Linked DNA regions of Drosophila melanogaster. The protein of the gene in region 2 purifies or fractionates together with the protein of the main gene of each other region. This does not show direct contact. Each region holds a gene or a part of one and is shown on either strand. Other genes may lie near its edges.

Region 1 (5,961 bases), on a different chromosome or scaffold from region 2:
CCTGCTTCAGTTTTTCGTGCCATCATCTTTTGAAACTGCTATATATGCGGACCTCAAAGGGTAAGTACACTTTTTTGGTGGGATAAATGGAATTTAATATCTCATCATTTTGCTAACATTTGTCAGTGGACATCCCTACCTCAACGGCCTGGCCATAGCAGGCGGAATGTATTGGATCGGTTGGCAAGGAGCTATTTTCGGACCCCTTATGCTTTGCTTCTTCATCGGCCTTTTTGAGGTGGCCACGCTGGCCATGCGCAGTCATCAAGAGCCCAGGTAATTAGACTTTCCCAAGCCAAATTCGATGAATTTGTTTAATTTGCATGCAAAGTATGAACCACATCAGACTTGTGCGGCAGGGATTAAAGTGAGTTATTTGCTGGCATGCTTATTTAGATTTAAAATCTTTTATACCATTGCAGAGGATTTTAGTAAGAAGTCTACAATGCAGGGATTCACTAGCCATGTCCGTCTGTCCGTCAAGGAAAAATTTCCAAAAGTTTTCTTTCAATGCAGAAACGGTCCAGAAAAGAATATTTTATTATACCGCCGTCAAGAGTAAGAGTATATAAATACTGCAAGGGTATATAAGCTCCGGCTTGCCGAAGCTACTTACTTCTTCCTTGTTATATCTTAATTTAATGAAAATCCTTTGCTGAATTTCAGGAACAGTACGGACGAGGAGCGGACCACGTGAGTTGGCATGGACCAGAAACTACGAATTTCCTTTTAATACTCGAACTGCGAACTAACATAAGCTGTGTGGCCAAATACCTGACAATCAAAATGAGATTGGCCCGAATATCATAACCTAGACATAGGCTGGAGCTTCCTTTAACTATTGTTGTTCGTTTCTCAGTTGCTAATCTTACCGCTTTGCGAACATTGATTTTTATGATATTATTCAATATTCCGTCTATGCAGCAAGCGCTCCTTAATATCTATTCTATCGATCTTAGTGTTCTTACATACAAAATGTACCTCGAATTATTTGTAGTCGCGAAACATTTCCAAAGCCTTCAAGTACCGATATCGTGCTCGCTACTAATTGCTTAATGTAAAATTGTGATGTGTTTAAACTTAGATACAAAATGTCTTGCAAATATATTTCTGTACTAACTAACTACCGCTGAATGCAAGCTTTTTTGAATTTGAAAGTGGTTTTCCAGCTCGATTCCTCGAAGGGTCAACGAAACTGTTAACGACAGTATAATAAAAACGAACGATAACACGGATGGAAAGTCTGTCATAGAGGGAAAACCTGTTGAGCTGAAAATCGTAACGAAAACCAAGACATTTCAACTGTTGAATACCAAAGAAAACCAGTAAAGAATTTGTATATAAATATCATAACTACATTTTATCTGTGTATAATGACCGAATTGCGAGTAATTACTTTTTTTATAACTGTTACAAAATAAATGGTTGCTTTTCTATACTTTCGACACAAAGTAATGTTTTGGAAAAGAATTTACTGCGTTCATTTGAATTCTTTTTATATAGCTATGCCGTTTAGTTCGTGTACTGATTCTTGAAGGTAAACTCAGGATGCCTTTCCACACTGTAAACAAAATAAAAATAAATAAATAAATAAAATAGAGGGATTAAAGCTAAGTCATATTTTTATACCCATGGAAGAATGCAAAGTCACAGATTCGAATATTCTGGTCCAGGCTAGACAACTTGGCCACCTCCTCGGCCGTCAGTTCGAAATCGAAGACGTCCAGATTCTGTTTAAGGCGAGCGGGATTCGTGCTCTTGGGAATGGCGGATACACCAGTGTCGATAATCCAGCGGAGGAGGACCTGCGCTGGCGTCTTGCCATGGCTTGCGGCAATCTCCTTCACCTCAGGGATGTCCATCAGGTCCGGCAGATCTCTCACGATGCCCGCTCCAGCATTAAACTTGGCGATTCCCTTGGATCCCAACGGGGAGTAGGCAGTTACGGTAATGTTTTCGGACTTGCAGAAGTCGACCAGATCTCGCTGCTGCAAATAAACGTGGTGCTCAATCTGGTTGTTGGCCGGCCGGATCTTGCAGTTCTTCAACAGACGGGCCACCTGATCCTTGCTGAAGTTGGATACCCCAATGGACTTGGTGAGACCCTTCTCCACCAGGGCCTCCATAGCAACCCAGATGGCTGCGTGGTTCGTGGTAACGTCGACCTCCATTAGGCCCTCCTTGTCGAGCTGAAAGTTAATGCTCGAGATGTGTATAGGAGTTGGGATTAGATTCCGTAGCACAACTACCTTAAAGCTTCCGTCCTCGTTGATATTAATTGTGAAGGGAGTGTGCACCAAATATAAGTCCACATAGTCCAGTTGCAGATCTTCCAGTGACTTTTTGATGGTTGGCTCAACTTCGTGGGGGCGGTTGGCTAAAACAAGGATTATATTATTATTATATTATTTTTGAAATAACTGGACTCGTAATAGTGAAAACTCTCACAGCTATATTTATAGTCATTCACATCAGGTTCATTTATCATATCAAAGAGTCATGTGGTGATAATAAAAATGTTTTTAAATTGAAATTATGAACACTGAAGGAGTCTATGTTGGTGTTTTAAAATCACGTTCCTAGTCTTATTTTATCAACTAGATATCAAAAAGAATATTGGTAGCTGGTGTAAAATGCTTTGGTTTCTATGGATCTTAAGATTCTGTGGGCATAGAACATAGGAACTATTTATAAATGTTTATATGGCATTTTGAAATACCATCCAACTACTAAATGCTACTTACAAACGGGTGGCACCTTGGTCACAATGAACAGCTCCTCCCGCTTGACCTTGCCGGCGTCCAGCCAACGCTTTAGGACTCTTCCGATGGCCTTCTCATTGCCGTAGACTGGCGCCGTATCTATGTGGCGATACCCAGCTTCCAAAGCCGCATCGATGGCGGTTTCGATTTCCTCATCAGATGCCTGCATTGTGGTGATGAAAGTGCGGTTTAGTGGTATTGTATATATATTGATTATAGGATTTGCATAATCTACACTACCCGAAAATCTTCAAACTCGATTTACAACGATATTTATTCTCCCGTGACCAGAGAAAGTCCAGTCCACCAGTGGATATGAATGGTGGTTTATTGTTTGTTTTTGAAAACCGGTCTAAAGTCCCCCAGCACCAACCAAATTGTTGATTGCATCGGAATCGGAATTTCAAGAGATTTAAATGACGTGTCAGCGATTTGTTGAGGTCATTAATAAGTTGAAACAATAGTATTAAGATTCGAATATCTACTATCCATTTAACCACTTACAAGCAATCTATGAAATTACAGAATTAACGTGATTATAAATACCTGCCAGGTGCCGATGCCAATCACGGGCATCTTCTCTCCATTGTTGAACGTTAAGAACTTGGTGTTGACCATTTTGTATTGATTTTTGATAACTTGTACACTAAAACAGACTTGAGTAACAGATTAAATGGAAAAGATGCGGCACAACCTGTTGCTTCGAGGATTGAATTGAAATTAAACAAGAAGCTACGACCCAGTCACCGGCCCACTTATCTCACCCAATCCAATGAGATTCTGCCTTTTGCAAAGCGCGGTCTTACTAGTCGATATTTGTTTAACAAAACAATCGAATTTAAAAATAAATGTACTTACCATAAATGGTTTAAGGCTCGTTTACTATAAAATATCGGACTAATTTATTTGCATTTTAGTTAGATTTAATATTATAACAATAGAAAAATTTGTAGCTCATATCCAAATACTGTATAAGTGTGTGTAAGAAAAATTCAATTCCGTTTCTAAATGATTTTAAGCTTTTAGAGAACAACTAATCCACCACTATGGAGAAGTTAGTGAACGTGAATTCTGAAAGTTCTGTAGTCTCACTGAAAATGCATTTGTCAATTCGACTGGTGGGGCTGCCGGTGTGCTTTAGCCAGAGGCGCCTGTAAAAGAACGGCTTGATAATTAAACGTTGAATGGAAAAAATCACTCACATGGACTCAAAGGAATGTCGGTGTGCTTGAATTTCGCCCTTCACCGTATTCTCGTTGGTGTTTTTGCACCAACCCCGGACTCCCAGCTTTTGAGCTCTTCGCAAGGTGTACTAAAACATGGTAATTGGATTACAGTAAAGAGATTTCACATATACAATAAGAGGTAGCAGAAAATCCATAGCTCAAAGGGGTTTTGAAGATCCCATTTCCCAGCAAGCTCTTACCATTCGAAATGAAACGCCTGTTGGTGCCAGATAACTAATTATTGCGACTATACGATTTGTGAATACCCTACCTTGCACAATGCCGAACACTTCGAATTGGCAGCTGAAGACCGGCTCATCGCTTCTGTCCGATGTTACTCTTTTTTGGAACTCTGTGTTCGAAATTCGGTTGGGCTCCTCGCTGCCTTTTTTGGATGGTGTACCTTTATCTGGTGTCGAAGATGGAAGAGTTACCCTCCTACGTTCACCCTCAGTCTGCGTTTCTTGGGAGGTCATTTTACAACTCGTATATTTAACATATTTGGAGCGGAAACTGTCAAAAATCGATAGGTCGATAGGGATTGAGGGTTTTATTTTGGGTCACCTTGAATTTCAATGGCTTTAAAAACAGTACATTTTAAATGAAATGACTTGAACAAGGTAAAACAAAAACAATAGCAAAAGTTACGTTTTCTTATTGTCAACAAATGAACACTTATGTTGAAAATTCGACAGCAATCCTAGAGCGGTATTTTTAGATCTAGCTTTTTTAGCCTTTTTTAAATCGTCGGTCGACCCGATCAGTCTGGTTCGGGCTATCGGGGCATGTAAGGGTCACCCTGTGTTCAAGGCGGTTCGTTGGAACCAGTTCCGAACTGTCTTTGAACAAAACAAAATCACCCAGACAAAATAGTGAATTACAAATATTACGCAGATTCTACATCAACGCACTATGCATACCGTGTACGCGCTTCTGAAGAACAAGCTGAGCGATGTGCATCCCCTACACAACATCGATCTGACGCGGGATGTGGCCTACCTAAAGGCGGTGGTGACCAAAGAGATGCACTTGCAATTCGACGCCAGCGAGTTGGGTGAGTGACCCTCGGGATTCAAATCGCTGTCCATTGTCTCTATTGTGTCAAGTCATTTGCTGCGCACTTGCAGAGATCATCCACCACGGACGCGTGCTGGAGGACGCAGACACCCTCAACCGAACGCTGCAGCCCAACGCCGTGATCCACTGCTTTCAGAAGATTAAACGTTACTCGCCGTATGTGCCGCCAGCCGCCGCCGAAATCAACACGAAGCATATTCAAGAGCTGTTTTCGTTGACCTCGCACCTGCAAATCAGCGTTACCTCGCGGTTCAACATTCTGCAGAAGATACTCGCTGAGTATCCGGAATTTAGGCGAAATCTGGGCGCCCAGGCCCTTATTCGCGACTCCGTACTGTTCAACATGCTGCACGAGCCGGAAGTGGTCCAAAATCTCGTTAAAGATTATCCCCTCATCTGCGAGGCCGCTCCATTCATAGTGGACACCATTCGCAAGGAGCTAGCCAGAAATAGCTCGGCCACGCAGTGTAACTAATGCCGTATCTATTCTTGATTTGTATATTTTACCCGTTTCTTCCTTTTTAGTGCAGGAGCAAGCTGCTTCGGAGTCTACTACTTCGTCAGAGGAGGAAAACTCTCTGGGTGCAGGCAGCAGCAGCAGTGGTGGAAGCAGCAGCACAGCCGTGGCAGCTGCCGCGGCCGCCAATCGGCGTGATGAGATGGCCAACATCCGTCAGATTAGCCGCCAGCAACTGGCTAACGCATTGGCTAACGTGACCCCGTTTAATTCACTGTCGAATATTGCGCAGAGAAACGCGGACGAGGCCGTGCAGGGTGATGAAAGACCTAGAACCACCTCGGCGCCATTAGCAGGCGTTGGAGGAGCAGCGGGAACAGGCGCAGGAAGCAGCAGTGGAGCCATCAGCAGCGGATCCATATCCTCAGAGTTGCTCCGC
Region 2 (5,611 bases):
TTAGCTGTAGCAATGCCATATATATAAACACACATATCTATACCAACATCTTTTTGTTTCTTGCAGTTTGGTGACTGGAATACAAGATGCAGATCTTCGTTAAGACCCTCACGGGCAAGACCATCACTCTTGAGGTCGAACCGTCGGATACTATCGAAAATGTCAAAGCCAAGATTCAGGACAAAGAAGGAATTCCTCCAGATCAGCAGCGTCTGATCTTCGCTGGCAAGCAGCTGGAAGATGGCCGCACCCTCTCTGACTATAACATTCAGAAGGAGTCCACTTTGCACTTGGTGCTCCGCCTGCGTGGTGGTGCCAAGAAGCGCAAGAAGAAGAACTACTCCACTCCCAAGAAAATCAAGCACAAGAGGAAGAAGGTCAAGCTAGCTGTCCTGAAATACTACAAGGTACACACAACAATCTACCGACACCATACCGAAAACATTCTGATCTGTTCTTGGAATTCTTGAGTCTTGGTCTTGTGCTCATTGGCTTAAGATTTGGATATCAGAGTGACTTTACCAGTGCCCTATATTGAATGAACATGTGTACGATCTCAGTATTTAATCACTTTCTATGCTCTTTCCTTTCCATAGGTTGACGAGAACGGCAAGATCCACCGTCTCCGTCGCGAGTGCCCTGGTGAGAACTGCGGCGCCGGCGTCTTCATGGCTGCCCACGAAGATCGTCACTACTGCGGCAAGTGCAACCTGACCTTTGTCTTCAGCAAACCAGAGGAAAAGTAATTTTGCTACATAAGATCATGTACGTTTCCAGAAATCAAATAAAGGTAGTAATTGAATAATAAATTCAATCGCTGAAATTTTCCTTTTTTTTTATTGTTAGTTAGCACTAGCGTGGTTAGTAATTGTTTAGCAAAACACTAAAGTTTCATTTAGGGTGTATGGTTTATTTGTGAAAATATTGAATACATTTTGTATACTCGATTTTTACTCGACCTTGAGAAATGCAATTTGTTTATGGTTAACCACTCAAACGTTAACTATGTCGACGTTAAGGCTTTTGGACAAGAAAGTCAGTATATCGGTGGCTTCCTCGATTCTCTTCGATGTCGGCTTGCCAGCGCCATGGCCCGCCTTCTGGTAGACGCGCAACAGAACGGGATTTTTCTGGAATTCCGAGTCGCGAACAGCTTCCTGGAGGGCCGCAATGAACTTGAGCGAATGCAAAGGGCTGACACGATCGTCGTGGTCGGCGGTCAGGATCAAAGTCGATGGGTATTCCGTTTCGGCGCCCTTCGGAGTGTGCACATTATGCAGCGGCGAGAACTTGTACAGGTTGTCAAAGTGCTCCTTCTCCGATGGGTTTCCATAATCCGAGCACCAAGCGTGGCCAATGGTGAACTTGTGGAAGCGCAACATATCCATGACACTATGAAATCAATATATTTCTCACTTGGTCACAACAAACAGGCTATCTACTTACCCAACTTGAGCCACAGCAGCTCCAAACAAATCCGGACGTTGGTTGATACACGAGCCGACCAAAAGGCCTCCGTTGGAGCCACCTTGGATGGCCAAACGATCCTTGGTCGTGTACTTATTCTCGATCAAGTACTCGGCAGCTGCTTGGAAGTCATCGAACACGTTCTGCTTGTTCAGCAGGCGACCGCCGTTGTGCCACTTCTCGCCATATTCGCCACCACCTCGCAGATTCGGATAGGCGAGCACACCATCGAATGTGTCGATGAACATAAGCCTGCAGAGATTGAAGGATGTGTTCACATATATACATGCTAACTTTTAAAAAGTATTTCTCAACATACCCAGAGAGTCCGAAGGAAGGCAGCATGCTGATGTTGAAGCCTCCGTATCCGTAAAGCAGACATGGTCGCGGCTCAACACTATCACGTTTTTTCCTAATTATGAACATGGGAACCTTGGTGCCATCCTTGCTCTTGTAGAATATCTGCTCAACGGCGTAATCCTCGCGACGGAATCCTTCCAAATTCAGTTTGATTTCGCGGAATACTGATGGCGACTTGTCAGGTGTCTTGAAATCATATCGATAAATGGAGCCGGGATTCAAAAAGGACGAGAAGTTGTAGAATATTTCAGAATATTTCTTCTCTCCCGATGTGCCTACAATGGTGCCGATATCCAAGTCGAATTCGCGCAGTAGGGTGCCATCCTTTAGGGAATTCACTTGCAAAACGCTCTGAAGAACGAATATGGAATGAGGCATATAGATGAATGACTAATAGGTTATTATTTACCTTCACATCCCTGATGTAACAAACGAGCAGTTTATCATTATCAACGCACTTAACCCAGTCCAAAACATCCGACTTGTGCTCCTATAAAACGTATAGTAGTCGTGATTAATCTTATCTACGTTTAAAAACAAACTAAACCTACGGCTATAAGCGTTTCCCATTTGTCCTCCGCTGAATTATTGAAGTCTATGGCAATAACTTGGTAATTTGGTGCATTCTTATTTGTACGGAAGAATATCTTCGAGCCTTCATTGGTAATGTACTGAAATAATGATATAAACATGTATACATTACTATTTTAAAGACTGTGAAAACATTACATACATCGTAGTCCGCCTCGAATTTTTCCACAATTTTCTTGACATTCAGTTTGGAAGTTATTTCCGCACCTGGCGTAAGATCAGCATAGAACACAATGTTGTCACGGCAATCTTTAACAATGGCCAGAATCAGGTATTTTCCACAATCCGAGACGGTGGATTGGCTAAAGTTGGAAAATTGATTATAATCTATGTTTCAACACCATACAATTTAAGATCATTACATGCGCCACGAAGGCTCTTCCGGAAATTCGACCACCAGTGTGTCTTTATCCTGGCTCTCACCCACCCGGTGATAGTACAACTTTTGATTCTCATTCTGTTTGGTCTCAGATCCATCGGTTTTTCCATCTTGGTCAGGGTATCTCTAAGAAATAAACGACTTGAATTTGAATTACCAGGACGAAAGAGTCCAGTACTCACACCATAAAAGAATCCCTTATTGTCTTTTGTCCACGAAATCTCCGAGAACTTGACCTTTTCAAGGACCTCGCTCAGATCCTTGCCCGTTTCGGCATCTCGAATGAGAATCTTGATCCAATCGGATCCACTTTCACTCAGGCCGTAGGCCATGTACTTGCCATCCTCGGAGAAGGCCTTCTGAGTCAGGGCGATGGTACCGTCCTCGGACAGGGTGTTCGGATCCAGGAACACCTTGCTTTCACTCTCGTCGCCCAGCGATTTCTGCTGGTACATGACGCTCTGGTTTTGCAGGCCAGTGTTCATAAAGTAATAGTAATAGTTGCCATAACGCATGGGACATCCGTATTTGGGATAGTTCCACAGCTTGGTAAGCTTCGTGTTCAGTTTCTTCCACTCCTCTCCATTCTCGAGGAAAGGCCGGCTTATGCTGTTCTGGGCATTCACGAATTCCTCGGTTTCCGTGGAGTCCGGATCTTCGAGCCAGCGGTACACATCCTTGATCTGGGTGCCATGAAAGTCCTCTGCCACGCTTTCATCCTTCCGAGCAACTGGATACGCGAGCTTAGCGGACAAAGTACTTGGCATGGCTCTGGTAACTTTGTTGGATTTATTACACGTATGAGAATATATGTATTAATCTTTCGCTTTTCGGCTTTTGCAACTCATCCCCATTAGCTATATATATATATGTGTATACTTACGATTTGAAGGCAATTCTCGATGAATGTAATTTCTGGGCAGCGTTTTGGGTACAACTATTTGACAAATTCGGCGGTAGAGCAGCGGTCCTCGAAAAATGGTATGCATTTGCAAAATTATCAATGCAAAAATGGGACACTAACTTGCGATAGTTTCGATAGGTGTTAGGGGCACTCCTTAAATTTTGCTACTGCGAACTATATATCGCCGCCTCCTTATAACTAATTTAAAAAGAAATTTCTCTTGTAATTTTACATATTATATTATTATTTATTTAAATATTTGAATGCTCAAAACGAGATGCTATGACAGATTTTGAAAAACATTTTAATATATAGGTAAACTTAGCAACTGTTAGCTTTTATTTACGTATTCGTGTTGAAATCAATCTTGATTAAATCTTAAAACCACTGTTTAATTTAACTATAAAATACAATAACAACTGGTGAAGCAATATAAACCAAGTTCCTTTAGTCGGTACGAAATGCTGCACCAAGGTAGTAGCTTTATTCTTGAAAATATACCGCACACGTATAGAAAATACCATTGCTTTAGTTTTAGAAATTCATGCAAGAGCACCCCCAATAAAATACCGCAAATGTCAGGTGTGACACAGCCAACTGTGGCTCGAAATTAATCGGTCCGTGAACAGATTACCTCTGTTAAACCATATGTTTTGGTATCGGGAGGCGAGTCGAGTCGGAATATAAACACAATCGAATCAAGTCAAACGGACCGAGTAAATGAATTGAATTGGAATTCCGCGCTGTTTTTAGTTCGTTTAATTTGTTAGCCACCAGTAAGCGCTTTATTTGTTCGGTATGTAGCTTTGCTTGAACTTTTCGTACATCAATTGTGCTGGGAAATCGAAGTTTTCACAAATTTTCCTTCCATATGTATGTTTTTCTTGATCAGCAACTTGTAGGCGCATATGGATGTACCTAAGCTTGTATGCATAAACAAACATTTTGAATGTATTAACTTAGCTAACTAGTTATTATGTTGATCTAAAAGGTAATACAGAACTTATTCAGTTTTATACAGTGCAGTTGGATTAGTAGTATTAGTTCATAACAATGGGCGATTTTCTACGGGTTTCCTATGACATCTATTTATTTTCGCTGAGTTAACAATTTTGTTAGAAGTGACCTTGTAACTAAATATTTTGTTGAGTATTTCATAAGGTGTATGACTTAAGCACGGCCTTCTAGATAATATCCGGGTGTTAAATATATTGCGAATTTAATTTAATTCACATTAATTGTTTTCAGATTGCAATATGATTTCCGAAGTGGACTCCATAAATAAGGATAGTTCAGTACGTGTTGCTGTCAGGTAAGATTATTACAATTCAAAAAACAATAACTATGACCATAAAAGAGCTTGAAATTCTAAAAGTTTAAATTTGAATATCTGTTAAGTGCGCCTAAAAGCATATAATATTGTATATTTTTTCAGAATCCGACCTCAAAACTCGAGGGAGCTAATAGATATGTGTCGTATCTGCACGACCGTCACTCTTGGAGAGCCTCAGATTTTTCTTGGATCTGACAAAGCCTTTACGTTCGACTATGTTTTTGATACCAATTCCAATCAGGTAAAGTTGTCATACTAATTTCCACCTTGTCTTAAGTTTCATTAGCCTTTATTAACCATTTCAGTGTGATATATACTCGGACTGCGTGGAAAAATTAGTAGATAGTACCCTCCATGGCTATAATGCCACCGTACTCGCCTACGGGCAAACAGGATCGGGAAAAACGTATACAATGGGCACTGGTTTCGACCACGAGTCGGAGTCATCCGATTCCGTTCAGCTTGGCATTATTCCACGGGCTGTTCGTCATATATTCAGTGGTATCGAACAACTGGAGGGATCCAGCACTTCAGAACATCCAGCGGCTGGTGGAAGTCCGCAGTTCAGTTTGGCTGT

Evidence for each region. The genes of interacting proteins can lie anywhere in the genome.
Region 1: the proteins of CG5355 (region 2) and CG2767 purify together in Drosophila melanogaster (affinity purification with mass spectrometry, with the first as the bait; one large-scale study listed by BioGRID). This does not show direct contact.

Annotation. Positions count from the first base shown.
Region 1 is NT_033777.3:8,004,588-8,010,548, forward strand, and holds CG2767 (uncharacterized protein), read right to left. Parts: upstream 3,524-5,961; 5' UTR 3,381-3,523; coding exon 3,309-3,380; intron 2,926-3,308; coding exon 2,745-2,925; intron 2,378-2,744; coding exon 2,250-2,377; intron 2,190-2,249; coding exon 1,630-2,189; intron 1,562-1,629; coding exon 1,513-1,561; 3' UTR 1,337-1,512; downstream 1-1,336. Other genes in the region: CG2698 (uncharacterized protein), read left to right, coding at 1-60, 127-276, 667-693, 1,170-1,329; CG11052 (uncharacterized protein), read right to left, coding at 3,796-3,913, 3,965-4,074, 4,189-4,205, 4,260-4,464; CG3223 (uncharacterized protein), read left to right, coding at 4,901-5,042, 5,116-5,532, 5,591-5,961.
Region 2 is NT_033779.5:10,409,645-10,415,255, forward strand, and holds CG5355 (uncharacterized protein), read right to left. Parts: upstream 3,820-5,611; 5' UTR 3,787-3,819; coding exon 3,681-3,786; intron 3,576-3,680; coding exon 2,980-3,575; intron 2,924-2,979; coding exon 2,781-2,923; intron 2,721-2,780; coding exon 2,561-2,720; intron 2,499-2,560; coding exon 2,379-2,498; intron 2,318-2,378; coding exon 2,237-2,317; intron 2,179-2,236; coding exon 1,787-2,178; intron 1,720-1,786; coding exon 1,447-1,719; intron 1,393-1,446; coding exon 993-1,392; 3' UTR 893-992; downstream 1-892. Other genes in the region: RpS27A (ribosomal protein S27A), read left to right, coding at 87-407, 597-746; Klp31E (Kinesin-like protein at 31E), read left to right, coding at 4,958-5,013, 5,137-5,275, 5,340-5,611.